4 linked regions of the Lonchura striata genome follow. The protein of the gene in region 3 interacts with the protein of the main gene of each other region in a biochemical or structural test. Links are inferred from orthologs where the notes say so. Each region holds a gene or a part of one and is shown on either strand. Other genes may lie near its edges.

Evidence for each region.
Region 1: the proteins of UBE2D3 (region 3) and UBA6 form a complex in vitro, tested with the Homo sapiens proteins (2 studies listed by BioGRID, with this or other methods). The link is inferred for Lonchura striata from reciprocal best matches to the Homo sapiens genes UBE2D3 and UBA6.
Region 2: the proteins of UBE2D3 (region 3) and SH3RF1 form a complex in vitro, tested with the Homo sapiens proteins (2 studies listed by BioGRID). The link is inferred for Lonchura striata from reciprocal best matches to the Homo sapiens genes UBE2D3 and SH3RF1.
Region 4: the proteins of UBE2D3 (region 3) and RNF8 form a complex in vitro, tested with the Homo sapiens proteins (4 studies listed by BioGRID). The link is inferred for Lonchura striata from reciprocal best matches to the Homo sapiens genes UBE2D3 and RNF8.

What each region holds. Positions count from the first base shown.
Region 1 is NC_134606.1:44,859,961-44,866,954, reverse strand, and holds the start of UBA6 (ubiquitin-like modifier-activating enzyme 6), read left to right. Parts: upstream 1-3,987; 5' UTR 3,988-4,105; intron 4,106-4,428; 5' UTR 4,429-4,556; intron 4,557-6,768; 5' UTR 6,769-6,790; coding exon 6,791-6,831; intron 6,832-6,994. UniProt on the Homo sapiens protein: Activates ubiquitin by first adenylating its C-terminal glycine residue with ATP, and thereafter linking this residue to the side chain of a cysteine residue in E1, yielding a ubiquitin-E1 thioester and free AMP.
Region 2 is NC_134606.1:37,454,099-37,461,987, forward strand, and holds the start of SH3RF1 (E3 ubiquitin-protein ligase SH3RF1), read left to right. Parts: upstream 1-4,887; 5' UTR 4,888-5,001; intron 5,002-5,178; exon of another isoform or gene 5,179-5,326; intron 5,327-6,290; 5' UTR 6,291-6,392; coding exon 6,393-6,779; intron 6,780-7,889. UniProt on the Homo sapiens protein: Has E3 ubiquitin-protein ligase activity. In the absence of an external substrate, it can catalyze self-ubiquitination. Stimulates ubiquitination of potassium channel KCNJ1, enhancing it's dynamin-dependent and clathrin-independent endocytosis.
Region 3 is NC_134606.1:48,603,738-48,610,963, forward strand, and holds the start of UBE2D3 (ubiquitin-conjugating enzyme E2 D3), read left to right. Parts: upstream 1-4,226; 5' UTR 4,227-4,624; coding exon 4,625-4,648; intron 4,649-7,226. UniProt on the Homo sapiens protein: Accepts ubiquitin from the E1 complex and catalyzes its covalent attachment to other proteins. In vitro catalyzes 'Lys-11'-, as well as 'Lys-48'-linked polyubiquitination.
Region 4 is NC_134605.1:29,922,181-29,930,050, reverse strand, and holds the start of RNF8 (E3 ubiquitin-protein ligase RNF8), read left to right. Parts: upstream 1-4,860; 5' UTR 4,861-4,992; coding exon 4,993-5,082; intron 5,083-7,348; coding exon 7,349-7,477; intron 7,478-7,870. Other genes in the region: AARS2 (alanine--tRNA ligase, mitochondrial), read right to left, coding at 1-34, 364-472, 773-918, 1,362-1,506, 2,042-2,236, 2,995-3,140, 3,783-3,971, 4,402-4,626. UniProt on the Homo sapiens protein: E3 ubiquitin-protein ligase that plays a key role in DNA damage signaling via 2 distinct roles: by mediating the 'Lys-63'-linked ubiquitination of histones H2A and H2AX and promoting the recruitment of DNA repair proteins at double-strand breaks (DSBs) sites, and by catalyzing 'Lys-48'-linked ubiquitination to remove target proteins from DNA damage sites.

The sequences.
Region 1 (6,994 bases), about 3.7 Mb from region 3:
TATGATGACTCTGTTTTCTGCCTTAGAGTAAAACAGCGAGGCTACTGTGTGATTAAAGAAAAGGTTTTTAAAAGCCTTTTATTATTCTTGATGTTAAGATTTAGCAAGGATTTAAACAAAATAAAGGCAATATGTTTCATAACATTAAATGTATTTAAAAACAATTGATTTTTTCTGACCTTCTTCTTTGCATAATAATAAGCTAAAGTTTGAATATGATGCAAAATAGACTAATCTTCCTTATTTTCCTTATAAATATTCCTTATTTTATTTAAAACTATTCTAAAACTACAGCTTTCTGTAGTTCTATCCATTCCCTGTCCTAGGAATCGTTTTGTTATTAACAGTGGTTGAACTTTACAGGTGTTTCAGTGAAGACAAGGTAAGACACTTTTCTAAAACACTCAGAGGTCAATTTCAGTTAAGACAGTACTATGCAAGAATGGATCTGAATTCAAGAATTTACCACCTTGCTTCTGCCCTTGGAAAAAACATGCGTGTCCTTGCATCCCTGCAAGTTTGCTATGGGAAACTCTATGCAGCTGGTACCAATTTTCCTGAGATTTCCCAGGTAGATTTAAAGCATCAAAAAATGTGTTCCAAACCTCTGGTTATTCCAAATGAGTTGTCTGGGGCTTTCCCAATGCTAATTTTCAGCTTGGAGCCGGAGTAGGAAAGAAAGAAGAGGCTGATTGCATAAGGCCTAATCACATGAGGAGGTCTGCTTGAATGACATCAATCTGTCATCAGGATTTCTTATGTAAGTAAAGCTTGTAGAAAATCCCATTCTGTATCTGCTATTCCTGTTAACAAATTAGATGAGCTGAGAGCCAAAAGACATTATTTAACCCAATGAATGTTTATCTGGCAACTTGCAGCCTGTGCTGCAGATTCACAGGCATGGAAAAACTGGCTCTTGCTTTTGGAAATACATTCATAAACATCTCAGTGTGAAATCAGCTTAGGTGCCCTTGATAAGGTGCCCTTGTTTATCTGGATTTATCAACATTGTTTAGCTGGATTTATCAACATTATTAACATGGTTTCTAGGAAGCTGTCACTTGCTAGAGCACCTTTAAGTAGCAAGTTCCTTCTGCCTATCCTGCTGGGAAGCTGCAGTCCTTTTAAATATGCCATCAAAACACTCCTACATGGCATGGGTTGCCAAAAAGAGGAGACAAAGCCTTGCCAGTCAGCACCTTGCTCTTGCAAGAGCTAACGGCAAGCCATAGACTATGGAAGGATGTTTGGAAACTCATTGAAAGATGCTGATGGGGATTTATGGTAACTTCTGGACTGGCCTGTGTGCTAAACTGAACTGTGTTTGCCTTAGTATTTTCAAATAACACATTTTTAGGGAAAAATCTACAAGAGTTTTGTCTGCTAATTTGCTTATTAACTAAATCAATTAGGGAAACAAATGTATGTGTACAAATCTCCATTATGAAGTCCCACTAATCATGTGAAATTGCACCTGTAAACCAGGAAATTAAAGACTAAAAATACCCAAGTGGCTTGAATTTTCTCAGGAGATAGAAAGGAGATTTACAGCTCCATTTGAAAACACTGGCTCTAAAGATGTATTCAGTATCTGGATGCAGAATGCATCTGCACATAAGTAAAGTTGCAGAGATTTGGGACATGAATAGACTCAAATCTGGAGGTGGTTATATTCTCCTGGCCGCAGCCTCATCTCACTTATTGCTTCAGCAAATCTGTAAACTGACAGCTTTTCTTCCTACCTCAAAAGTTATAGCTGACTCTAACGTGATGCTAATATGGAGCTGGGATTTCCTTTAAAATTAATTTATTTAACCAATTTTTTTAAGATTTTAATGTTATATGTAGTTTTTAAGAAGAAGACTATGGGGGGCGGGGGGAAGTCAAATGACTCCAGATGCTTCAAATTTTGCAGTCTTACAAAGTTTAGGGAAAATCTGTATGTTTTTTGATTTGGTACCATCAGCCTATAGAGTTCCTGGGTGCACCTGCTAATTGATGCATTTGTGAATTTGTTTCTTTGGCTTCTGGGGTAAACAGAATCTGTCAATTTCTTAGTAGTATTTTATCTTAGAAGGCCCACATTCATGGTTTCAACAATTGTTAGTGTTTGCCTGGTTACTGTTCAAGGGTTAAGTGAGAATTAACTGGATGTTGCTGTTTCTCCACTTAGGCAAAAGGCTTGTCAGTATTTGCTGTGACTATGCAAAATCTACTTTATGTGAGATGACTGTATAAAAGTGGACTGGGTCTTGAAAAATGTAATGACTGGGACACAAAGATGGTAGGTAGCAGATTCTTTTAATTATTATTATTTTTCATAATACTTTTGATGGGTAAAGTGCTTGAAAATAAGAATGATTAGGTTAACCTTGAGATTAGAAAAAAAAAAAGTTAATTTTTAAGGAAAGAAACCACAAATATAAGGGTAAAAATAACAGACAAGACAAAAAACAATGCAAGTGACAAAACCAAAACTGACTTTTTTTGGTGTCCTTAAACTCTTTTTCATTTCCCCCCTCCCCACCTTGGTCACTGGGACTCCTGTTAATTCCGTGCATTAGATACATGCACTGCTCTTTGAAATGACTGTGTTGAAATAATGAAAGTAATTATTCCATGTTCTGATTTTTATGTATTATGTGAAAAAGCTACAAAGCAAATACCAGCCTTAGCATCAATTTCTTTACTGGTAAGGGTTGCAGTCGACATCCAGAACGGTTTTCTCCCATTATCCCGTCTCTGAATTCGGCATTGCAGACTTCTAGTGTCCTCTAGTGGTTCTCTGAAATTTGCCCACGTCTTCTCCAATTATTTCTGTTTGTGGAAACAGCATTGTAGCAGACAAGAACCTTCATCGTAATCCTGCCAAAGCACAGGCCACGTTTGAAAGAGCACAATGTTGTGCAGCTGCTCTTAATATTTGTTAGTAATTAAACATAAAGGTGGTATGCGCTCTTGGATTGAGGCGTAAATCTTGAGGGTTGCTAGAATTCTGTTAAAAGAAACGCCAAAATAATGCACTGGGTGCTCACAAAGAGCACAGAACTTGGGTCTTCTTGCTCTTACAAGTTCCCCAAACTCCAATTAAGATAGACAAAAAGCTTACCTGTTTGGATTTTTTTTTTCTTGTGTACCATAGGATGCAGATGGTTGGTGTGGTTGGGGGTTTTTAAACTTAAAAATATTTTAAAATACAAGATGACTATTCTACATTCACTGTATACATGGACACTTTTGAGTGCTTGAATCCCTTCCATTCTAGACAAGATGTGCTAACGGTATCGAGAATGATTTAAACTCGTCTCATCTACGCTAAGTGATCGGAGTAACAAAAGGGATCAAGGTGAAGGGATAATAGGCTGGCTGATGGGAAGGTGGGCTCTGTTGGGACCTTAATCAAGAGTCTGGGAAATGGGAGAGAAAATACTGATGGGAAGCGATGCTGGTTTTAGTGGGGTGGCGTGGAGCTGGTGGCGGAGGCAGCGCGGCGGCTGTCTCTCTCCTGCTTGACTTGCTCTCTCCTGCTTAATCACCACCAAAACAAGAGGAAATGTTTCCACAAGCCTGTATACCACCCCGGCATGGGCCGTACTTTGCTTTTGATAACTCTTTGTCAAACCTTCTCTGAGGCCTTGGCTACGATCTAGTATTCTGTTGGCCCCCGAGACCGCTTCAATGAAGTTCTGCCTGTTCGTGCGGTCGGTGACATCCTGCTGGCGCTCTCCTGCGAGACACACAGGCAGGTACCGCAGGAGCAGGGCCCGGAAGCGCTCTTCATCGTCTAAACTGGTCATACTCGAACCTAAGGAGGATTTATTAATTTTATTACTTTAAACGGCACGGCGTGCTGCTTTCCGGGCAGAAAATGGCGAGGATTCCAACGGCTCAAGCGGCCGCGGCCGGGCGGCGCTGCGCAGCCCCTTCCGCTGCCGGGCGCGGCGGACCCGCCTCCTGAGGGCGGCGCGGCCCCGCCGGCCCCGCACGTCGGCGCAGGCGGGGAAGCGCCGCGGCACCGGCGCCGCCGCTTCCCACCCCTTTCCTGCCTCTTCCCCTGCCGCCCGCCGCGCTCGGGCCTGTGAGCGCCACGCCAAGGCCGCCGCGGGTGAGGAGAGCGGGCGGCGGCGGGGCCGGGGTGTCCGGGGTGTCCGGGGCGGGCGGCGGTGCCCGGCGGTGCCCGGCGGTGCCCGGCGGTGCCCGGCGGTGCCCAGCGGCGCCCAGCGGTGCCCAGCGGTGCCCAGCGCCCCGGCAGCGGCGGGCGGGGGCTGCGCCGCCGGGCTCTGCTGCGGGCGCGGTGCTGCCGAGGCAGCCCGTGGGCTCTGTGCGGGCTCCCCGCTGCAGATCCCCGGGGTCGGTGTTCCCGCATTAGCTCGGCTGGGCAGGAACTGGGTTTGAGCCTCCTCTCTCTCTCTCCCGCTGATTGAACAGGGAGCCTGCATCGATTGGGATCAGCCGCTGGAAGCTCCGGGCAGGTGGGATGAGCCCAGGCCTCCGTGCCATCCCAGCGTGCTGAACAGCGAGGAGTTAACACTGCTTCAGCCTGCGCTGGCTCGGAGGTAAGAACACTGTGAAACCAGCACACCGCTACAGCTCCTGCGCATTTGCTACTCTTCAGAACATCTCAGTCCTTCCCGGTAACATGTAGCTTCTTGGTTTGTCCCTGGGTTATGTCATGCATGCAGCTGAGGCTTAAAAAAATTAAGAACTTGATTTAAACAGTTAAATACAAGGCTGACATTAAAACTGATAGTGTTGGCTTTTAAAAGGAAACAGACAGCTGTGTAAATGTTGAGCCTCTGGTAAGAACTAGGACATAATGCTAGAATGACTTTTCTACATGCATTTCTTTGAAACAGATTCAGTGCTGGTGGAACAAAAGTGAGAAATAACTTGGATGCAGAAATACATTAACCAAGTTTGTCCTACAGTCGCTTGACCATAATGTCATTAAATCCTCCTTGTGAAAAGAGGTATTTTCCTTTACCTGGTGGGTGCACCGGCAGCATCTCAGTGCTGTAACTATGTCTGCAGGAGGAAAATGGGGAATTAAAAAGTATATTGAAAGAACCACTGTCAAATGAGTCTGTGTGAAACAGGTGGCTGAGTTTCTCTTTCCAGTTGATCACACGTTCTAGTTGTTTACAGAAGTCTGTTTGGGAGGGCGTAGAGATTGAGATGACTGTCAGCAACCACAACAGTATAAGCTGAGCGTTTTTATCCAGAGGTGGATCACCTTCCCCATCTTAGTACTGCAGTCCTTTTTTGTGGTGTAGTCCCAGAGTGCTAGTGCTGTTTGTGGAGGCTGATGGTGGAGGACAGAGCAGCTCTGGTCTAGATGGCTTGCTTTGAAGGGGACCTCCGGTCTTGTGTCTCAGGCAGTGGCTGAAATGAAGGCCCTTATTTAAGCAGGGACTGAAGCCTGTGACTGTAAGGTATGGTGTGTTGCATTCTGGCTTGAGATCTGGCTCTGGTTAAATGGTCATTGCTTGTCTTCAGCCCTTGTGGTGTCAAGGGCATGGGAGCTGCTCTGAAGTGGCTGGTGATGTGGACTTGGTGGAGCTGCCTCATGCCTTGAGTGCTCACTGAAATGCAGGACTTAATATCCACATGGTGGAAGAACTTTGTGGCCTGTATCCAATGTAACTCTGTCCCTTGCTGTGCTATTTCAGCACTTTTTAAAAACCAAAAGGACAAATTTTGGGTCAGAATGTTGCAGTCTCCACATTGTGACAGACTCGAGGTACCATACTTCAGAAAGGTTAAAATGTTTACCAAAATCAACTGAACAGTAAATAGGAGTTAGATTTTGGGCAGGTTTGAAAACTGTCTTAGGGTATATCTGTGCTCTCAAAAAAAATGTCCTTAATATGTCTGGGCCCTTACTTTTCAGTCTCAGGAGAGAGGTTTGTCAGCTATGTGTCGTTTCCAAGGCAGTTTGTAGAAAGCTGAAATAAGATATGTGACCCAGAACATCAGTTCCAATCACTACTATAAAAGTACACACAGGGTCTATTTTGGTCATCCTGTGTTTGGTGGCAGTCACCTGCCAGGTTCAGGAAGCACCAGTTCCCAATGTGCATAAGAAAGAAACAAGGTGCCCAGGGGCAGCTTGTTCTTAATCCTGGTGCTTAGTTATCACCAATTTAACAATGAAAACATCCTTGTTAATGGCCGAAGGACTTAACAGCATAAATTACATTTTTTCTTACAATTCTATCAAACTGTGTAACTGCATGTTTTAATTAAATGTTGCAGTAATTCAGATCTTTGGGTGTTGGTTTCTTCAGTTAACTGAAATACTTGTTTCTTAAAGGTTTTCAATTAACATAGAAATAATGCAACATAAATGCCTATTTCTAGCCATTCAGTGATCTTCTATCTTCTTTTCAAAAAAAACCCACTGATCAGATAGATGCAGGTTGATCAGCTTGGAGCTCTTAATATAGAATGAAGTTGCTCTTTCAGTAAATTTAACTGTGGCAAATACAATAAGTAAGTCTTGCATTTCCTCAGTGAGGAAATTAATGTGTTTGTATTTTGAATGCAGTTATTGAAGATTGGTGGGGTTTTGTCTTCTGGCTGTGTATTTTCCTTACCCAGGCACTGTGATGTTCCACAGGCTTCTTAATGTTCAAAGTTATTCCTGTGTAGCATCACTTTTTTATTTTTCAGTTCCTTTAATGAAGAACTGAGTGGGGCAGGGAGGGCATGCCAGCTATGAAATTGCATTGGACATAACCAGCTCATTTCTTTTTGTAACCCTTCTAGTGTAAACAAATCACATTGAATCATGGCAGCAGACTCTATGGAAATTGATGATGCTTTGTATAGGTAAGATTGTCTGATTTTTAAGCATTGCTTCTGACTTTTCAGGATCACTTATATTTACATGTAGTAATGTTACAATTTCATTCATCCCTCAGCCTTTGCTGGGCTTCTTGGTCCTAATCATCAATATCTCTGTTACCTTCCAGACCTCAGGCTGTTGGATTTG
Region 2 (7,889 bases), about 11 Mb from region 3:
CTCACTCAAACACTGAAGAGTTGTAACATCTTTATTCTTTAATGCCACAGACACGTTTTGTATTGCACATTTCCTCCCTGTGACTCAAATTAAGTTATTACAATAGCAGCAATATGTACAAAGTTACAATCCCAGGTTCACCTTATCAGCGAGAACTGGCTTACGACATGAATACACAAATGATACTGTCCTCAAGAAAACTGGATGCCTAGAACACAGCATAAAAATGTACTATCAAGTACATTTGGGCTTCTAGTTTTACAACTCATTTTTCCCAGCTCCTCACCAATACCAGAACAGCGGAGATCCTTCTAGCAGGATGCAAAAACCTTAGAAGTTTGTCATTGATGTAGTTAAAACTAGTTCACAACCCAGAAATTGCATCAAGGATAGCATAAAACTCAGTTTGCCAGCAAACCAACTGGATCAGTATCAACCATGCTGAGCTCCTTGCTGCTCGAATTGTTGCCAACAGTAACTGAGCTTGATAATTTAAACCTGGTACTAACTGAAAAAAACCCCACCAACAACTCAACAAAAAAAAACAAGACAGCAAAGCAAAACCAAACTGCAATCCCACCTTAGCTCCCTGAAAAAACCTGAAAACAAAATCACAAAAAAACCCCAGAATGACCTACAAACAAACAAAAACAAAGATATAAAAACAAGAAACAAAAAACCCCAACTCTTTAATGAAAAAGGAAAGAAGCCATTGAAGAACATCTTTGCTCATTTCCACCAGACTTAAGAAAGTTGGCCATGGGCCATCTTTCATCATGTGCTTTACATTGACTTACCAGCAAGATCAGTGTGGCCATCAGCAGTAAACTTTCACTAAAGGGATGTCAGTGGGAATTTTGCATGGTCTTTGAAAGGGAATCGCCACCATATCACCAGGGGTCATTTTACAAAGAAATAAGATTAACCTTTTTGGTCTGTACCTGAGAGCGGTATTACATGGGAAAGACAGGCTAATGTGAACATTACATCCTTTCTGATTAAATTACCAAAAAAAAAAAAAAAAAAAGAAAAAAAAAGCTTTAAAAATACTTTAGTAAAAAAATGTAGCTCAAAACAAAAAGATGCTTATAAAACTATGAATACAATTAATTCAGACTATGACTGTTGTGTTTTCTTACATAACGCATCTTGTTCCATGAGTCTTAATATGTTTGAGCCTTCTGCAGTTATCTGAAGACTTTCAGGATGGAATTCACAAATAAATTAACTGTGCCTTCATATGTTTATTCTTGTAGGCCTGCATTTCTCTACATGGCACTCAGTTTTATTACTCTAAATATATATAGTGCTAACATGACTTTTTCAGGCAGATGGATTATCCCTGCTGTCCAGGGTAATAATCTTCAGGGACATTTTGTAGGATTAGAAGGAAGATTGGACCTGGTGTTGTTCTGTAGTGTGTTAGTGCATTTAGTGCATTAGTTACCAAATATCTTTAAGATTTGCATGTTGAAAAATTTGCAATTCTGAAATATCCTATTAAAAATTTTCTAAGAAACTAGATGCAGATGACTATAGAGTGCATCTCCTACCCCCTCTTCCCAATAATTCATTGGCAAAACTTGATGGAAAATCTGGAGAGATATTAAGATTCTAGAGGTTTTATAGAAAACAGTGGTCATATAAAAAATAATCTAATATTGAATGTCCCTCCTACAGGAAAGGGTGCAACAGATGCTGTTCTCTCTTCTTGTGAGCTGCCAACTTATCAATTAACCAGTGCTGGTCAAAGCCAGGTACAGTATAGACTGTCTCACATTTTAAAGACAGAGGAAAAACTAAGGGTACTTGGAAATGTGCCAGAAACAGGAATTATTGCAGTAAGAGTTAGTTATAATAGAAAGTGTGACTGTTTCAATAGAGTGGGCTGAAGACATGGGGAGAGGCCTTTAGGCTGTTCGGTTTAGAGAGGAAAAAAAGAACGCATTGATGAAAGAGGAGTGCAGAGACCACAGTGGGTTTATTGCACTAAGGATGCAGACAGAAAAAAGGAAAGCAAAAGGTGTTACAGTTCTTTCTGACGTTGTCCTTTGCTGTTCTTCCTATTGTCCTTTGCTTCTTCCTTTACTTAACAGCTTCCAGGTGAAGATAAACAATATACATTGGAGGAAAAATATAAAGTATACCTGAAACCCAGTGACAAAAATACAATTCACTACACAAAAATGTGTAAGATACATATATTAATAGACATTATAATTGTAAAAATCCAGGTTGAGTAACTGGTGGGCCTCATCTTTCAAATCTGTGTTTTTAAGGGATTTCTTCCCTTTGCATCATGTACTTAATAACAACTGTACAAGAAACTAATGAACTGTGCATAAGGATGGGACAATTTCAAGAAGTGAGGCCACCTCACATAAAAATGTCTGAACAGTGCAATGTCTGAATAGTGCAATTCCCTGCTTATGGCTGGTAGCAAGAAAGTAACAGCAATTCTGTTCCTTTTGGTCCTGGCACCAGAGTATTGCAGCCTCTCTGAGTCAAACACTTCACGTGTAAGAGGGCAGAGGCATACTTCTGCACACACTCCCACATTTTTTTACATGGATCATAATTGCTTGAAAATTAACTGCAGCTACTGCTCAGGAAGTAACATATTTACCTGATGCTCTTCAGAGTGTTTACTGCTTTGGTTTATATTCCACAATGTATTTAGCATATTACAGACTTTACATAAAACACTATCAAAGACCAGCCCTGATAAAGGAGTAATCTTTTTATCCTGTTTCCTTGAACTTTCATCTTGCTTCCCTGGTGCACCACTTGTGTTGTAAATTCCTTTACTGTTTTAATAGATATTTTACATTCCTTAGGCAGCAAAGTAAGTTTAGACAACAGTAATTGTCTTGCTAACAAAACTATGCTAGAAAGGCTGGCAAATAATTACCATGAGATCTTTTGAAGAAGCTAAGTCTAAAAGTGAAATCCAACTGTGAAAGAAGACTTTGTTTAGATTTAACAAGTCTCTGTTTCAAATGTACTGATTATCCTTTTTCCTGTAGTGACAGCACTGATATGGCAAGATAGAGGAATACTATGAGACATAAGAATATTCTTATGTATCAGATGTTTATACCCTTCTATTTATGTTACGATACTTCCTGGAAAGCACAGACATAGACCAGAAACCCATCTGTATCAGTTTTCCTAAACTCCAGAACTCATGGGGGAGGAAACCTTATTTCTTAATGAACTGTACATATTTAGCAGCTTCAATATTTCCACTACTATGACTGAAAAATAAAATAAAATATTAGAGATGCAGTGTGAGAGAGTACTTACTTGGAAATCGTAATAATCAGAGAATATCATTACCATTGGAAACAAACAAGTTAGCATATCCAGAAAGTAAGACAGAAAAGACTGTCACACTATCAGCTTATCCAAACCTACACAATCCATGTGTGAAAAAGGAAAAGGAAAAAAAAAAAAAGGCAGCTTTTTATACATATGCACAGAATTCAAGTAAGGATGACAGCAAATTTAAAGTTACAGAATATCCTGAATTGGAAGGGACCCACAAGGATCATCAAGTTCAGCTCCTGACCCTGCAAGGGACAGCCCCAAGAATCACACCACATGCCTGAGAGCCTCATCCAAATGCTTCTTGAACAAAGTCAGTCATTTGCTGTGACAACTTCCCTGGGGAGCCTGTTCCAGTGCCCAACCACCCTATGGGTGAAGAAACTTTCCCTAATATCCAATCTAAACCTCCCCCAACACAGTTTCATACCATTTCTTAGGGTCAACTAGAAAGCTAGAACTACACACAAACTTTAGGATTGCTTGCTTTTTTGACTTGCAGTTGGCAAGATGAATAACTGGAACTTAAACATTTGTCTAGCTTTTTCATCACCCATAGACAAGGGGTGTCATTTGATTTAAAAAGTGCAGGCTTTAACTTCTTTTTGTTTTATGGTAATTTGCTGTATCTTGGGGTTTATTTCCTCCTTCATTCCCACAGTCTTGCAGAGAAGTATTTCGCACAAAACACCCCACAAGCAAGTGCATCATATCCTGAATACAGAGGTGTGTGGTTGTGTGTGTGGGGGGAGTGTGTGAAGAGAGGCACTCACCAATTTTCTGGCATCATTTATTTAATGAAGCAGTCCTATCACAAAACCGTTTAGTTTGGAGCAGACCTCCAAGATCAGCGAGCCCAACTGTTAATCCAGCACTAACCATGCCCACGAACACGCTGCACTCGACCTTAGCACAAGCGTGCTGCAAGGGCCCGAGGGAGCAGAGCCGCAGCCGAGGGCAGCGATGGACGTGACACGGCAGCCGCGGCCTCACCGCGTCCCACCGAGGCGCCGGGAGCTGCGGGCGCACGGCCGGGGAGGCTCAGGGAGGCGCCCCGCCCCGCACACGGCCGCCCAGCACGAGCAGCCTCCTCGGGCGGGCCGCCAAGGGCTCCGGGCACCGCGGCTCCTCCTTCTGCAGGCCTGGCAGCCGCGGGCCGGCGCTCCGGGTACGACTTACCACAGACAGCGAGCGGGGGAAGCCCTGCGAGGAGCGAGCGAGCGACCACCCACCCTCGTTCCCTCCCTCCGTCCCTCATCCTCGTTCGCCACCGCCTCCGTGCGGACAGCGGCAGCCCCAGGTGCCCGTCCGGGCTGCCCCAAACGCACAAGGCAGGGGGAAAGCGCCTGCTCCTCCCGTCCCAGGAAGCCGCCTCCCCTGCCGAGACACCTAGCGAGGTGCGGGCGGCAGGGAGGCCGAGGCGGCCCCACGCCCCGTCCCCGCCCGCGAGGGGCGGTGCCGCCGGCGGGCACCGCCGGGCCCGCCCCCGCTCCCTGCCCGCGGCCCCTCGGCGGGGCGGCGCCGGGCGGGGCGGCGCCGCGCCTCGCGTCAGCGGCCCCTGCGCGGCGGGGCGGGGAGGGCGCGGGAGTCTCCGCGCTGCCGCGGCGGGAGAGGCAGCGGCGGGGCCGGCGGCGGCTCCTCACGGGAACAAAGCGGGGGCAGCGCGGCCGCACGGTGAGAGCCGGTGAGGGACGGGGACGCGGCGGCGCTCGAGCTCCCCCGGGACCCCGGCGCTCCCCGAGGGGCGGCGCGGCGGAGGGGCCGCGGGCCCGACCCCTCCCTCCCTCTGCCCAGCGCCGCGGGGCGGGCTGACAGCGCCGTGGCCCCCGCCCGCCCCCGCCTCCCGGGGAGCCGTCCCCGCTCGCCCCGTGTCCCCGCAGGGACCCGTGCGCGCCGCCGCCGCCGTGTCCGCCCGCCTGCGGGTCGCTGTTCCCTCGGGAGCAGGGCAGTATAAAGCAGGGAATCGGGGAGGCGGTCCGGGAGCGGAGCCCGGGAGCAGGTAGGTGCGGGACGAGCGCTCGGGGAGCCGGGGGCGTCGCTCCCGCGGGCGGCTGCGGGGGCTGGGGGGAGGCGCTCAACTTCGCCCGGAGCCGGGCACTGCCGAGGTCAGCAAGCCTTTCTCTGTCCGCGGAGCATCCTGGTGTGACTTCTCGCAGAATGTTTGTTTTTTAGGGGGGCTCTTTAGTGGTGTTTGGTTTTTATTCCCCTCCTTTTCCCAGCGCGTCGCTACATAGGCTGGAGTTTGCTGGGGGCTCGCCCCTGCCTCTGTGGCTGCATACGCAGCGCTCGTGTTGTCCTAACGATATGGCAGTAGCACTTCCTGCTGTAAATCACTTCGCGATAGTTTTTGAAGCGCTTCTTAAAGGCGGCACTGTAATGAACCCTCTTGTCAGTGCTTGCGGTAAGCTTAAAACCCTGTGAGCTGGAGGCCGTTTTCAAGGCTGAGCTGTGTAATGTGCTGCAGTAGTTTTTATAGAAAGGGTAGAAATGTAGTTCACTGTTGGCTTAGTGTTGGCATAAATGTAATTCTCCTTGCTGTACCCTTTTGGTGTAGGCTGTGTCGTTTTGGACCCCGTTGTAGTTACCTTTGCCATCTTCTTGTTGTGAAAGAAAGCTAATCTCAAATGTTCACGGAGAGTGATGTATTAAGAACTATGAAAAGTAAGCTTTATTGTACTGCTGTACTGGGTTCTTTGTTCTGGAATAATTTGAGGAAATAAAGTCACTCAGACTGAAATTTATGAAGACTTGAATTTAAAAACCTTAGCTGTTAGCATTTGTTCAAATATTTTAAATAAATAAATAAATACATTAATGTAGATTGATATTACTGTATTCATGTTTCATTTATTGAATTAGTCCAGTGATCTCTTATTTTGCTGTTTGTATGAACATTGTCATATAAAATGGTCTTGTTGACTTTTTCCAGCTTATTAATGCCTTTTTCCCTCAAAAAATTTTAGAGTACAGTCGGAAGAGGAATGGATGTAACATGATACCCTTGCAGTTTTCAAAACACACAGATTCTGCAAAAATTTGTTTCTTCATTAAGTAATACAAGGAAAATGGATGAATCGGCTTTGCTGGATCTGTTGGAGTGTCCTGTTTGCTTAGAGCGCCTTGACGCTTCTGCAAAAGTCTTGCCTTGCCAACACACGTTTTGTAAACGCTGCCTGCTGGGCATTGTGAGCTCTCGCAATGAGCTGCGATGTCCCGAGTGCCGGACTTTAGTGGACTGCGGTGTTGATGAACTCCCCAGTAATATTTTGCTTGTTAGACTACTGGATGGCATCAAACAGAGGCCTCGGAAACCCAGCGCCGGCGGTGGGACTGCCGGCACAAATGCTTTGAGGGTCCCCACCAACACTGTAGCTAATTGCGGATCAAAGGAGCTGCAGAGCTCACAAGTTGGACAGCAGCAAAGGGTGCAAGCACGGAGCCCTCCTGTTAGGGTAAGTACCATGTGGTGACAGTATTTTGTTGCATTCCTGTCTTTTCCTCCACCATTTAAAAACAGTTGACGGCCTCTGCTTTGGGATAAGGGCAGTCAGATAGTTAATTCAGCAAAACAATGTAATTTTGAGAATTTCTGTAAATTTCTAGCAAAGCATGTTGGTGTTCCAATCCGTGTTGGTTTAATGTTATGTAAATACTAAGAATGCTTCCTGATTGAAACTCTGTTTTTGAGGCAAGGAGAAGAAATCCTTAACTGTCCAACTGAAAGTCAAATAGAGCAAGGTAACTTATGTGGAAAGCTTAAATTAAGTTATTATTAAGGATAGAGGTCTTGTGAAGAACATTTGACATTGTTTTTAGTTTGTCAGCTGCAAGACTAGACATTTCGTTTTGGCTTGTGCACTTTCTGAATTTTTTTCTTAAAATCAGTAAATTTCCCTTAAGTTAGACATAATGAATGTTAAACACGAGTAGAGAAGTTTCGCCACTGGCTTCCAAGTATCTACATTTTTACCTTCTTTCCTTCAAAAAGCAATTTTTGAATGCCTGCAATCTGCTAAGTTGTTTGCAGTCTTAGTTCTCATGATTTCTTTACTAGTTTTTCTTCAAGTATATTTTCTAGGGGATTTAGAAGATGTATGTACCATGATGGGAAGACATCACCTTCTTTGTATATTCTAGTTCTTTCCGAAAAGCTATGCAACCTGTAGACTCTGTCATACCTTATAATCAAGACTCAGTGGCCTCATTTATGATTATTCATTCTAGAACCTATGTCAGGAAATGTAATTTTATGAGATGACAGACCTTGCTTTGTTTTATCTAATAACAAAGCAGGACAGCTTCTCTGAAAGGTTTTGCTGCCCAGTTTCTTTGCGTTCCTGTGTTTGAAGTGGAATTTCTAAATGTTTTAGGTGGTTTCCATCTTGTGGAGTTTGTTTGATTTTTATGAAATGTGTTAAGGAGCTCCAAGAAGAGGACTTGAATGTATTTTTGGCAGGACTAGTCTTTATTTTGAAGTGTATCTAAATTATTTAGTTTATTTACCCAGTGAAGGAATCCCAGCACTGATTTTTCTCAGAAGTGCTTGACATGATTGGCATCTC
Region 3 (7,226 bases):
TTAAAATGGATTGATGCAGGGACTCGGCATTTTGCTCCGTGACTTAGAACTGAGATTAAAAGCACTTCTAATTCAAAGGAAATGTGGATTAGCTTGGGAATTGTTTAAGTGAAAATGTCAGAGAAGCTGTTGAAGAAATAATGGGAGATGAAGAATTGGCCAAGTTGGAATATGAAGAAAGTTACCTTTTATCTAGTATTTCTTAAAAACTAACTGCTGCCTAACACACTGACCTTGGCTTCACTCCAGATGTGAAAGGGGGTTGCCTACCTATTCTTCCTAACAGGAGACATAATGGTCACAGATGCATCAGCAAGGAAACACAGCACTGCTAAGGCTGTAACTGTGACCTAGTCATCCTCACTGAAGAGGAGAAGCCCACAGCTACACAGAAGGGCCTGATGATCTTTGGAATTTGAAACAGATAAAGTGGAACCCAATGGCATCCCCAAACCTGTTTTTTTCCACTGTCTTCTAATGGCACTTGGCAAATTCAGCATTTTTTGTTGTTGTTGTTGTTGTTGTTCTGTTAAAAAAAAAAAGGCCAATGGAACAATCTTGTTTTGTCCACTTTCTCCTGTGATCTTATTCTTTCTGGTATCCACTGAATCAAAAGGGTCCTCAATAAGGTGAGTTTTGCTCAGATTAAAGAAGGATTTGTCTGCAAGCTTGATTTACAATAATTAAAGGAAAAACAAGTTGGACAGGATGCTGAAAATTGAGGCCTGGTAATACATGCAAACAGGGAGAAGCTGAAGCTGTTGTTGTTCATCTTAGTGCTTTGTTTTCCAGCAGCATAAGCTGAAGTGCTCCAAACAGGAACTAATAGTAATCTATTGGATGGATTAGATGGATATCTTGCTTTTGTTGAAGTTTTTTTTTTTTCTCTCCTAAAATGGAAAATATTTTTGGAAAACATTTCCATCTTGTTTCCCCCTTTCCTCTCAGATATATGAAGCATCTTGTATGGAATGCTGCTTGGTGTCCACGATGTTTGGTTGCTCCACCTGTCTTGAAGGCAGGTAGAATAGCATGCTCCAAATATAAAACTGGTTGGTCTCGGGCAAGCAGAACTGAAAAACCAGCACTGATGTACAAGTAACCTCTGTAAACCTTTAAACTAAAAGGCTGGGCTGCTTTTCACTCAAATCCCCAAGGGGCACTGCTGTAACAGGCAAACAAGGCAACCTCCATTCTTGGCTGGACCATCCATTCCTATGTTGGACCATCAGGAAGTAGCTGAAATGGACTGGTGAATCCAGCCTTTGGAGGCTGTTGATCACTTGGTCACACATGGCTCTGGAACACCATATTTGAAAAAACAAAATTTAAAGACAGGTTCAAGACAGCTGGTCTGCTCTCAGTATTTTTGTGCAAACTGTTTATTACCAGGCCACATCTACTGAGGTATTTTGCATAATAAACCTCTAAAAGTCTAACCTGACTCCACTGCTGTGGAGGATTAGACATGGTAATACTTCTCTACAGCCACTTCTGAGGATTAGCTTCAAAAATCAAATTAAAATGAAGCAAACACAAATAGTTCCACAATAAGTTGCAACACCCTTATTCAGTAACCATCATCTGCACCTCTTGCGTTTTATATTACCATATGAGGAATCTATGCAAAAGAATATACATACTGTGTGTGGTAAAGCTGAAAAACTCTGCATGGGCAGATCAACATATTAAGATTTTGAGGCCTTGTTTGCCCACACATTCCTAGTGAAGTAAAAAAACTATTTGGTTTTATTTATTTCCAAATACTGAGGAGAAAATACATGATTTTTACCTCACAATTTGAGGAAAAGGAGGTGAGAGTGGAAAGCATAATGTTCTCCAAGCAGAACTGTGTGCTTGTGACTTGCAGAACAGGTCACAGAACTGTGACTGCATGTCTTGTTTTTCATTCCGACACAAGCCATAATTTTTTTTTTCTCAAAGGTCAGTATTTAAATGTGCAGATTTGTTTTTTAAAAATGACCAGCAAGTGCAATGAAGTGTTTGCCTAAACAAGTATACTAAACTAAAATTTGCAAATCTGTTTCTGAGCAATGGCTATAAACAAGACCTATCCAGTAAATTTGAAATTCTCTTTGGGGTCAAATGCTAATAGACATTGAATTTAACACGTAAGAAAACTTGATTTACCAGATTAACAATTCCAGTTGTCTTAAATTAGCAGGGGAAATTACACACTGCCAACAGTATGTTTATGCTGTTCTTAATTTCTTTCATTATACAGAAAACGTGAATCACAAGTCTGATCAAAAATGTTAATATAAAGTCATATTAGAGGTCATTAATCTCAAATAATAATTACAAAATGTAAAACTGGAATACTGCCAAGTATCTAAATCTCCTGAGATGACAAACCATAATGAAGCTCAGAAAGTTTGTGAGCAATTTACAAGGCAGAGCATCATGTCTGTGGTGCAAAGATAGACACGCTGGTGATTTGGAGCCGTTTAATAGCATCCGTAATCCAAAACTGGAACAGCAAGGTGTTCTTCAGCAATATTCTTGACTAAGATGATAAGAATGAAAATCAAATCATTTGTAATTACACTTACTGAACATGCTGTTCAGTACAATTAAAAGAATAAGCAAAAAATGAAGACTACATAAGGAAGCTGCTAGGATTGGTTTAGCAGATCATAGCAAGATAACTGGACTTTAGAAGTACAAGGTATTGTTTACTCTTTTGCTTGCAAATATCAGTTTTAAAAAACAATGGCAGTTCTACAACTGTGCTATTTTTAATAATAATAAAAAACCTCCACTGCTCTCCTAATTCACTGCTGCCTGTTGTCAAGCTTCATACTGAAAATGTTGTTACACAGTAAGCTTTTCTGAATATACTGCCTTCTCCAGACCAATAATAATTAGTATCCTAGACAGCAAGACAACTAACACTATGGCACTAAAACGAACACAAATGGAGCCCAGTGCCATTATGTGGACATCCCCCTGGACGTCAAATGTCATGTTTGTCACTTATACATTCCATCCTTACAGAAGAAGGGCAGTCAGGCAATCTTGCTCTTGTTTCACGGAAATGGAGTAGGAGTCCTTCCCCTTGTAGAGAACAATGTATAAACCTGCACCATTTATTACGGTGCAAAAAAAAACCCACGTGGCTGAGAGTGATCTGTTGGCACATGCTGCACAAAATAAAAAGCCTCCAAGGAGCTGAAGTGCTACAGAGGGTACTATTGTATATAAAACAATTGTATCTCATCCTCTAGAACTACCTAAAAGATTGTCATGAGCTGCGGGTCAGTCTCTTCTAGACTGCCTGCTGTGAGGGGACTAGAGGAAATGCATTAAGGTGAGACAGGGTAGTTTCAAATTAGGTATTAATTTTTCTCAATGTTTAGGTGGTAAAGCATTGGAACAGGTTGTCCGGGAAGGTGGTAGAGTCACCATTCCTAGAGATGCTTAAGAGGTGTCTGTTAACTGGCACTGAGTGGTAAGGTTTAGGGGGTAATGCCACGTGATGGTTGGGCTTTATGATTTTAAAGGTCACTTCCAATTTTGATGATTATATGAATATATGATGCATCTGGCCCTTGGACTGACAATCCACGTCACCATTATCTTCCCTTTGGTGATGTTTTGTCCCCTGTACTGAGACACTTGGTTGGACGTCCTCGTGTATGCCGATACGCCACTAAAAGGAAGCGTCCAGGCCCCTTACCCCCACACCAGGCCTCCGCTCTTCCGGGGCAAGAGCAGAGCTTCAGCTTCGTCACTCGCACCGCAGCGAACGCTGCAAACCCCATGGCTCGGGGGCTCCCTCCCTGCTCCGTGCCCCGGCGCTGCCGGCCGGCCGTGCCTGTGGGAGCGGCTCCTTCCCGGGCCGGGCGGGCGGTGACCCCTCCGCGGCGCCGGCCGGCGGCTGACGCGCGGAGGAACACCGCGCCGCCGCGTCAGCGGGCGCACCTAGATCCGGCCGCTGCCGCCATTTCGCGGGGAGGCGGCCGGGGCGGACCCGCCGCTAGCGGTGCGCGCCCGCCACCGAGCCCCGCGCCCGCCGAGCTCCGGAGCCGCCGCGACCCCGGCAGCCGCGGGCAGGAAGAGGCGCACAGCGCTCCCGAGGCGGCGGCGCCCACGGGCAGCCCCAGAACCTTCCTTCCCCTGCCCCGCCCGTTCGCCCTTGGGCCCGCCCTCGGCCCCGCCCCCCGGAGCCGTTGGCGGCGGCGTGCCGGGCCCGGCCCCGCCTCCCTCCCTCCCGCGGCGTCCGGGCCTGGCCAGCGGCGGCAGCGCGGGGCTCTCCTGCCCTTCCTCTCTCGCTCTTCCCTGGGCGGGTGACGCCTCTCGGCTCTCCCCGCACTTCGCACCCTCTCCCGGCCGTGACGGGAGGCGGCGGGCGGAGCGCTCCCCCGGCAGCCTCACGGCCCCGCTGCCCGCAGGCAGGCAGGACTTGGGCGGCCGGCCGGTCGGGCGCCCCCCCGGCTGTTTCCGGAGGAAGGAGAAGAGCAGCTGCCCCCTCCCCCCTCTCCGCCTTCCTCCCGGTTCTCCTCCTCCTCCTCCTTCTCCTCCTCCTCCCTCCTCCCGGCCCCCCGAGCGGAGCGCGGAGTCACCGCGGCGCGTAGACGGGCCCGGCACTCGCACACACACAATGGCGCTGAAACGCATCAACAAGGTGAGTGAGCACCGCGGCTCCTCCTCCTCCGCCGTCCCCCCCCTTCACCGCTTCGCCCTTCTTTTTATTGTTATTTTTGGGGTGTTTTATCTTCTCCTTCTCCCATCGCTTTCCTCCCCCTCTCGCCCCTGGAGTCTCGGGCGGGGGGGGGTGGAGGGGAGAGGCGGAGGCTGAAGAGGCCGGGCAGCGGCGGCTCCTTCCGGCGGGGCCGCGGCCCGGCTGGGGCTGCGGGGCCGCTCTCTCCGGGCCCGAGCTCGGCCCCGGCCCCTTCCTGAGGGCGGGGGCCGGGGAGGTCGGAGAGAGGCAGCTCCCGGGGCCGCTCGGATGTCAGCGCAGCCCGGGGTCGCTGCCGGTGCCCTTAGGCCGAAGCCGGCCCGGATGGCGGCAGCCCGTGTGTGCCGAGAGGTTTGGGTGCGATGGAGGCGCTGCCCGGGCAGCAGCTGGGCCCCTCGGCCGGGTTCTCCCCTCTAGTGTGCAACTTCTCTCCCGCATTGTAAGATGGCGGCGGGTCCGCCTGGCCCGGGCGCTTTCCGGGATCCCTCGCGTTCCGCAATAACGCGGAACTGACACACGGAGCAGCCACCGCGGCGCTGCCCTCGCCCTGCAGCCGCCCCTCTCTGCCGCCCCGGGGCTCTCCGGGCACCCGGGAATCCATCGCCTGTCCGGGAATCGCTTCTCCCCGCGACCGGCCGGGAGCGCGCTGCGCGCCGCCGCCTCCCCCCGTTGCACAATCGGAGCCGGGTGGAGCAACTTCGCGGCGGCTAACTCGGAAAAAATGCCGAGGTGATGAAAGTTTGGTTTTCTTTTTTGTGTGTGGGGGGGGTTGTTTTTTAAGATACCTCTCCCAGGGCTAGAAAGCTCCCGGCGTGAAGTTGCCCCTAAGTGGGTTTAGGTTTTGTCGGCAGGTTTGAGAATTGCTGGGATGTAATGGCAAAATGCGATGGGTGCGCAGCGGCGGAACCGGGAAGTCGCTGTTGGTCTGTGCTCCTTCTTACGCGAGCTACGTGGAGCAGTTACGTGTTTCAAGAGCTCAGAGGAGTTTCTTGGTCATCTCATAGCCTGCCAAGATGGCAGAACGTCAGTGTGTCCTGAAATCGGTGAATTTCAGTGTACAAAACGCCTTTTGTAGACAGTGTGTAAACTTCATGCCGCCTCTTGGTCTCGCTTTAATTTCACACAGTGCTTGTGGTCGTATTTTAGACAAAACAAGCGTTTTTTATAACGTTTTTAGTGAATGGATAGTACTGTTACCCTCGAAAATTTTAAATCCCTTCTGTGTAGATAGCTGAATGGATTGTCTTTGAATTATGGCTGTGCTCTGGCAAGGATTTCAAAACAATTCCTTTAGAATCTGCCATCAAAACTTGTTCCCTGTGTTAGTGGATGATAGCACTTGAGTTGAAACACAGCTAGGATACTCCCTGGTATGCTTTGTCATCAGCTCATGCTTATGAAACACGTTCAGGCACTGCAGGTAGGAATTTATTGTCAAATGTAAACCAAGACAAACCCCCACTTATGTAGTAATCTGGTGGTCAGAACCTGGAAACGATTCAGCGTGACTCTTGAGCCAGTAAGTCATCTCTGACTATAGCGTTTTGGCCTGTTGTGTACACTTTTGTATTGGTCCTTAATCTCCATTGCGCTGTGTAGTAGCAAGGTTCTTCCTTTATCCAGTGCAAGAGTTTACGGTTGGGAACATAGCTGAGCTAGGGTTTTTTAGGGCAAGAGTTTAGGATTGGGAAGATAGTTAGCTCTGTTAGTTTTTAATTTTTGCCTCCTTTTTTTGTATGTGTTTGTTTGGGGTTTTTATCAGTTTAATCACACCACATTACAAGATAGACTTCTAAATTCACGTGGAGTTTGTAGTTCTGATTTTTGTATTTGCAAACCTGGAAGATGACCTTAATTTGTGGAATGAAGCCAATCTTTGCATGTTGCTTTCTTCCTCTATTGGTTTCCAGTATAAATGTTTACAGAGGCTGCTGCTGACATAAAAAAAAAAACAGTAGGGCCAGTTCTATAACAAAATGGTTGTGAATGTAATTTTAATCCTGTCAACCAGTAAAATCCAGAGAGAGCGGTGTTGTCACTGATAAACTAGGATTCCCTGTCTTCCAATTGTAAGATCACAGATCAAACCTTGGAATTCTCTGCTTCCTTGTAGTATGTCTTTATCAGTAGATGAGAACAGGCTAAAGATAAACCAGGACCTCAGAACATTGTAATCACCATAGCTGATTTAGTTTGTGCTATTACTTGTCAGAACTAGAATTCATTGTCTCCTGCAGCAGATGACATCCTGAATGTACCAGTGAAGATATTTTCAGTCAGTTTGGTTGACTCCCTCTTTGTGGACTTGACATATCAAGCAAAATAACATTTTTCATTATATTGAGTAAACTAGACTTGAGACTCTGTTAGAGTGTGTGTGTGTGTATCTTTAATTTGAAGTCTGTTACACATTCAGAATGCAACCACTCGTAAGACATAACTGGCAAATTCTACTTCTGATTTGAAAATGAATGTAAATTAGTATTTATGTATTGGGTTGTCTACTTCTGGAACACCCTGTATA
Region 4 (7,870 bases), on a different chromosome or scaffold from region 3:
TGGCATTCCTTGTCAGCTCTGGATAAGCATCTCCCTGTGGAAGTGAGCCTCAGTTAGTGATAACATCCTCAGCATCTTCCTCGGGGGATCTCGCAGCATGTCACAAATATTATAGAGGTTACTTGCATACAGTAACACATGCTTGTGCTGACTGTACCACTGATGTCACTATGTCCCCTCCCTCCCATCACAAGTGATAATACGGACAAGAGGTTTTTAATGCTGGAATGCATACCATCAGGTAACATCTCCCTGGAGCTCCTTCCCATCCAAAATTGACTCCTGACAGTATGCAGAAAATGGACTTGGGGCTGAATAGGATGCGTGATGACCTTTTTCCCCCAAGACAGCAGTTTTACTCACCAGCACTTCCACAACTGTAGGCACCAGGGAGGCCAGGAGCCCAGGTGGAGCCTGTAGAACTTCAGAGCAAAAGCGTACAGCCCTGCGCAGGATCCGACGCAGCACCAGTCTGAAAACAGAGAAGGATTCCTCAGGCAGCCTTGTGAGCATCCCTGCCCAGCTGCCACATCCAGCATCCCCCAGCTCATCTGGTCTGATTCATCAGCACAGGCCAGATGCTCCCAACACTCTACACCCATCCAAGGGGAAGTCTGCAGATTGGAACCCCTTCCTGGCTCTCATCTTCCTGTCTCCCTAAAAGCTCATGTACTCCCTATCTGGGGCCCACACTAGAACCTCTTCCCTGGCTGTTCATATTCCTTTCTAGACCTAACTTCCTCCACCTCATGCCATCTCCTTACGTCCTTACTCTGCTCCAGAGAAGCCTGGGTAGATGCCATCAGTGATGCACACGCACAGGGTGCGCACATGATCTGCCACCACGCGGTAGGCCATGTTCACACGCCCAACATCAGCATTCCCGACCAAACCTTGGTATCTGGGTGCCCTGCAGACCTAAAAGAGAAAGTAGAGAGAAAATCAGCAGAAAATAATGGCTGCAGAAGAAGTTTCAACACAAGAGGCAGCCAGCTATGCCTGACATCATGTTTTTCAAGTACCTCTGAACCCCGTGCACCTAAGATGTACTCATCAAATCCTTCCACGGCACTACAGACCAAGACTTCTGTAACTAACACAGGTCAGCCAATGCCCTAGCACTGAGAAACTTAAAACACTTTAAAGGAAAATGAATCAGCAGTGCTGAAATTCCAGCAGATTTCCAGCCTGGAATTCTCCCTTTTTTCTAGAACACTGCATTGGACCTGGCAGGACATAACCTCCCGCCTCAAGACACTGCTCAATAACTGCTCAGAGAAGACTATACTATGCTACCCAGCAAGCAGTCTGTGTTCAAGGAGCTTTTGTTGAGCTGTGACTCTAAGCAGAAGCACCATCACCTTGTGAATAGCATCCAAGATGGGAGTGAAGAGATCTGTGTCATAGCTGGAACGTTTGTTCTGCAGAACTGTCACCAGTCTTTCCAGACCCATTCCTGTATCCACATGGTACTGCGGCAAGGGAAGGAGATTCCCCTCCACCTCTCTGTCAGCCAGGCAGGAAAAATAAAAGGCAAAAGAGAAGCAAGGATCAGTTCATGAGCAAAAATAAGGAACAGGTGAATCAAAGAGAATGGGAAAGTGACAGGGGATGGAAACATTGGGTGACCCAGCATAAGGAAGCTCAGGGATAAGAGTGACAGCAGCCTGCCTTAGCCCTGTCAGGCAGCCATTATCTGACCATCACATAGCATAGGCTGCAATGTAAGGAAAATGCAATGTAGGATAGGCTGCAATGTAAGGAAAAAAGGCCTTCTCCTCCTCTTCCAGACTGCTGCAGACCTCAAGAGATCTCTGGAATGCAGCATTAAGGGAGAATAGGCAGTGAAGGTTGAAGAAGACAGGGATTTAAAGCAAAGGGGACCAAGAGCCATGCTGGGCAAATCTCCACAGTTTCTCTCTTGCTCCTGGTCTTGGTATTGCTACCTTCTGGAAACCAGTGATAAGTCTGAGAATATACCCATGATTTTGGAGTCAGGCTAGGGGGAAAGGCTCTGGAGTTCAGATGAGATGCTTGGTACCTGCTGTACTGCATGAAAACTAAGTTCCAGATCTCCACTACATCGGGGCTGCCCTGGTTCACCAGTGCTGCAGCATTTCTGCCACCACCCACGTGGTCATAGTGGATCTCTGTGCAGGGACCGCAAGGACCTGTGTCCCCCATCTCCCAGAAGTTATCCTTCAATGGGAAAGGAAGCACGTGACTGGCAGGAACCCTGGAAAGGCAGATAACAGAGATGGCAGTGCTGAGGCATACACACAAACCACACAGTAACCCAGATCACAAAGAAAGCTGGAAGAAAGGAATCCTTTCTTCCTTCTACAGACTCAAAAAGGAAACACATCAGAATTCCTCTGTTTCTCTACTTCCTCTGCTTCCTTCTCTTCACACAGAATTACTCTCCTTAGTAAGATTAAGTGAGCCAAACCACACAGGACCCTAGTCTCAGCCCAGAATTATGGGCAAACACAGCCTGGCCCCTGCTGACCAAGACAGGCTCTCCACTGGGTCTGTGGAGCACCTTGCTCCTTGGAGCAGAGGCAAGACCTGAACACCATCAGTGGCACAGAGCTGTCTGCCTTGGGCTCAAAGCCTACATACAGCTGGAACAAGATCCCCAAGCACAGCAGTGCTCTCTGCAATGGCTGCACCCTCTCACTGAAGCAGACATTGCCTGCTTTCAGAGAACACACTCTCATGATGGAGAGGAAGCAAAGGATTGGAGATCCTGTACGTACTTCATCCAGGCCAGCCAGTTTTAGGCACATACCCACCCCCACTGATACTACCTGAGAATGAACCAAAAGTTCAAGAGACCCAGTGAGTTCAGAGCCCAGCTGACTTTTAACAGCGCAAAGAAACCAGAAACAAAATGGTAAAACATACTCTCTGGCCCCCACAGCTGATCAACTAAAGAGCAAATGCAAGACTGTGGAAAGTAAAATGTCAGCACCTCTTCTCTGACACACTTACCCCAAGTGGAGCCACACATCCCTGCACTCCTCGTCTGCGCTCAGCCCCAGCGAGGGGTCTCCACCAAAGTAGGTGACATAGAGACGATCTCTGGGGATCTCATAGACCTCTGTCAAGAGCTCCCAGGCCATGCTACATGCCTCCTCCTGAGCAGGTAGGGAACATAAATGAAGCACAATAATTCAGAGTCTTTAGAATGGGAATCAAACAACAAAGAAGTTAATTTCAGCTGTTTCTCTCCCTTTCTAATTTTCAGACTTATTGCAAAGAGCAAGGATGAAGGTCAGGAGAATGAAACAGCTCACTGCTGCCAGTGGAAAACTGACATTTCTAAAATGTTGTGAGCCCTTCAGCATGGTGTGCATCTATGTGCTTGCTGGCAGAGTTACATGGATTATTTAATTTCCAAAGAAAAAATCTATATGTCACCTAAAAAACTTAGCATCCTTTGTTCTTCTTCCCTTTTCAAACCTTCTAGTAACAAACATTAAATGAGCTGGTAACCTCTTTACACCATATTAAGTGGCTAACACTGGCATTCTCACAGAAAACTTTTATTTTTACATGTTGGTCACAGCTTTGGCAGGCTGAGTGCTTTGAGAGTCTTCAGGACACATTCAGCAATAGAGCCCATGAGCTCACCACCGCTGTTCCAGGCCACAGAGCCCCCAGGAATGAATCTGGATCTTACCAAAACACCTTCTGTACACACTCCTATGGCACTACAGCACAGCTCTGAAAGGCAGGTTATGTTTTCCCCTAGAAAGGGTTCACTACTATCACCTCACCTTAAAGTAATCCCCAAAGGACCAGTTCCCCAGCATCTCAAAGAACGTGTGATGGTAAGTATCTCGGCCTACATCCTCCAGATCGTTGTGCTTCCCTCCTGCACGCACACACTTCTGGCTGTTCACCACCCGCCGGTACTGGGCCAGCTCACTCCGGGGGTGCACCGTGCCCAGGAAAATGGGCTTGAACTGGAAACGAGAGACACACGCTCTAGATGCCTAGGTGTAGGCATTCCTACAGATGCCTAGGTGGCATCTGTACCCGCTATGGACAGATGCCACCTAGTGCAGTGAGCCTGCGCCTGGGGCTCCCGATACACAGAATGGGTCAGGTTGGAAGGGACCACAGTGGGCCATCTGGTCCAACCTCCCTGCTTTAGCTAGTTCGTTCCAGAACACACGGCACAGGATTGTGTTGACAGTTTTAAACTATCGCCAGCGGGGGAGACTCGCACAGCACTGCGGCACTACGAGAGGCGTCCAGCAGGACGGCGGCGCGGGGAGCCCAGGGCAACGCCGGAGATCTTGGCAGGGGACACCCCGAGCCGGGCGGCGCTCCTCTGAGATGCGGAAGCGCCGGCGAGCCGGAGGAGGGGAGGTGCAGGACAGGGAAGAGCACCTGGTTCATGCCCGCATTGACGAAGAGGAGACGCGGGTCGCCGCGGGGCCGCACGGGGGCCGAGGGCAGGCGGCGGTGGCCGTGGCGCTCCTCGAAGAAGCGCAGGAAGGCGGCGCGGATCTGCCCCGCCGACGGGCAGGCGGCACCGCCGCGGCGGGGACTGCAGCGCCAGCGCCATGGCACCGCCAGCAGCAGCCGCCGCCGCAGCCGGGCGGCGGCAGCCATGGCGCCTCACGGCGGACGGCAGCGCCGGGGCGCCCGGAAGGGGCGGTACGAGGGGGAGGCGGGACCCGGCGGAGCGCGGCGGGACTGCGGGAAAGCGCCGCGCGGCGGCCCCGCCGTCCTACGGCGCACGCGCGGGCTCCGGTCGCAGCCCGGGCTCGGACGGGCCCCGGCCCGCCCCGGCCCCTGCGAGCGCCGCCCCGCCGCGGAGATCGCTGCCGCCGCGGAGATCGCTGCCGCCGCGGAGATCGCTGCCGCCGCGGAGATCGCTGCCGCCGCGGAGATCGCTCCCGCCGCGGAGATCGCTCCCGCCGCGGAGATCGCTCCCGCCGCGGAGATCGCTCCCGCCGGTCGCGGCGGGCGGGCGCCATGGCGGTGCGCGGCGTGCCGTGCCTGGCCTGGTGCCTCCGCCGAGTCGGGGCCAGCGGCGACTGGCTCCTGCTGGAGGCCGGCACGCAGGTGAGCCGCACCGGGCCCCGACCCCTCGGAGTGGGCGGGGGGGCAGGCACGGCTCTCGGGGCGCAGTTTGGTGGGGTCTCGTGTTTCTTACAGCGCTTCCCAGGAGGAAAAAGCACCGCCTTGTCCCGCTTAAGGAGCAGCCTCCGTTCGTGGCCGTTCGGAGGAGCCGCCCGGGCGGGCGCCATTCAGCCCCGGTAACGCCCCCGGTCGTGGAAGACGGACCCAGGCGCTGGAGTGGCCTTGGACGAGCCTTCGCTTGTTTATGTCTTTACATTCTTATGTCATATTTAGATAGAGTTGTTCGTGTAACGGTAACGTAAGTGAGGACGAAGGGAGCCCATAGCCTAATTAACAAGGTGGTGCTTTTGGCGAGGTTAACAGTACCTAAGGCATAAGGTATTCAGGTGTAAATGAAGTCACTTTTAAATTGTTTTGATGCGGTACGGGAATAGCCGTTTTCTTAGCGATTGTGTTTTTAAATTGAAAAATGGGCCCTGGTACTCTTCTTTAAAACCCAGCAGGCAAAGACGTGTGATGACGTTGGGGCAGCGTAAAAGGAGTGCTGTTCCGGTGGTCAAAATCAGGTGGTATGGGTGATGCTGTGGCCAAGGCCTTGTGTTCAAACACCGCAAAAGGCACCCATCCAAACGTATGCTTTTGTTACTCTCCCATTGTGGATTTGAAGCCCTGAGATTTGCAGATCTCCTCGGTGAAGGACTGGCGCTAACAACTTGCAGCCAAGGCACTGATAATTATGCAGGGAATCCAGTTTGGTATGTTACTATTCTGATTGTATGCACAGTGGTTGTCATTTGCAGCAGGGAGGTGCTGTAGGTGTGCCAGGCCACAGAGTACAAACTGCTTTTGCTGGAGATTTAAATCATAATCATAGATTATGCTGAGATGAAAGGGACTGACAGGGATCACTGAGTCCAGCTCCTGACTCTGCACAGGACAGTCCTAAGAATCACACCACATGCCTGAGGATGTTATCCAAACACTTTTTTAACACTATCAGGCTTGGTGCTGTGACCACTTTGGTGCTAAAGGACACTGCTCATATGTGGGAATGGGATGTGATTTGCCGGTACTGCTGTGAGCAGCACTGAACTCCAGCAGGTGAGTGGTAACATCTTGGACCCCTGCTTGCTAAATGAGCTTGATCAAGGGGGAATTTTATGACTGCCCCTGCTTGCTCTCACTCATATTGATATGTGAGGTCCTGTAGACGTGTGTGACTGGGCCCTGAGGATGCCACTGCAGGGACAAATGCAAAGCTGCTTTTATGTTTGAATCCTCATGAAGAAGGGAGTCTTTATCCATTTGAGTCTCTGTACCTCTTATGTATGCAATCCATGCTGACAGAAAACTATATGAAACATTTAAGAGGTAGGCACTAACATGTTTAAGTTTGCTTTTGTTATCTTAGTTTGCTTCCTTGCTTTTGGTTATGACACGGGGGTCTGAATTCTTGCTCTAAACTCAAGGTGAGAACTGCTCAGGTAATGCGGATTAATTAAGAGAAGTGTGCAGAGGAGGCAGCAGAGGGAGGGAGAGCAGGGATGTGCTTTAAATGGCAATCTGAAATCAGATGAGATTTAAAAAGATACTGTGCAATACTACAAATATATGCCTTCTTCCAGAAAATAGTATTAGTCTAATGCAGTTACTTAGATCACTTTTACTACTGATTATGAGCTGCATGTAGCTTAGATTCTGAGCCATAAGATCGATGGTGTGATTTACAAAAGTACTGTGTATTTAGGACAATGTTGAGTGTGCACTTTTTTTTGATGGCAGTTTTCTGGGCTATTTTTTTCCTGTATCTTTTCTGTTCACAAATGGTTGAACAGATGCAACTAGCAAAAGAAGAGGTTAAGAAGTAGTCTTGAGACCCACACACAATAGTGCTGGTTTGAAGAAATGGTATTTGGTTAGGTAATGATTGAGGTGGGACAGAGTTGTATCTGAGTGGCTTTGAGCAGCTTTGCCGCTGAGGAAGATTTCCATGAAACCAAGTTGTAACGTGCCTCAGAGAAATTAAAATTTCCTCAGTGGGAGAGAAAGATAATACTTCAAACTTTATAAGCTTCTATTTTCTATATACTCTTAAAATTAAATTAAAAAAAAAATCATACTATGCCAGACCTTTTGGAAATAACCATAAGATATTGATATAGAGTTTTGCTGTACTTAAATTGAAATGCCATAAACTGAATTTACCATGTCATTACTGATTGCAGTAACTATGCTACTTTATTTTTAGGTGACTGTTGGCCGAGGATTAGATAACACGTACCAGCTGGTGTCAAAAACCTGTCCCTTGATGATCTCTCGTAAGCACTGTGTCTTCCAGCAGAATGCAGAAGGGCAGTGGACTGTCAAGGATAACAAGGTATACTCCTGAGATACATTGAATAGAATCCATTCTTTTGGATCTAGCAGTGTATGGGCTATGATACAGCATAAGTGGGATAGAAGGGATTGTGTCTTGCCTGTTGTGCACTTCCAGCAGGAAACTTCAGTCTGCTGCAGTTGGGATTACTTTCTGTATGTAGATCTACCTCTTAGTTTAGCATTATTCAGACCAGTGTGGCCTGGCCAAGGGCACTTTGCAGTCTGTGAACCTTCGGTGTCGCTTTCTTAAAAAATATCCTATATGAATTTTGATACAGGGTTTTATCTTTTCAAAAGGATAACATTCTTGTAGTGCTAATGAAAAGATAAAGTGCAACTCGTTGTTGTAGTGATACAATTGCTTTGATTATAATCAACTTCAACAAGAATC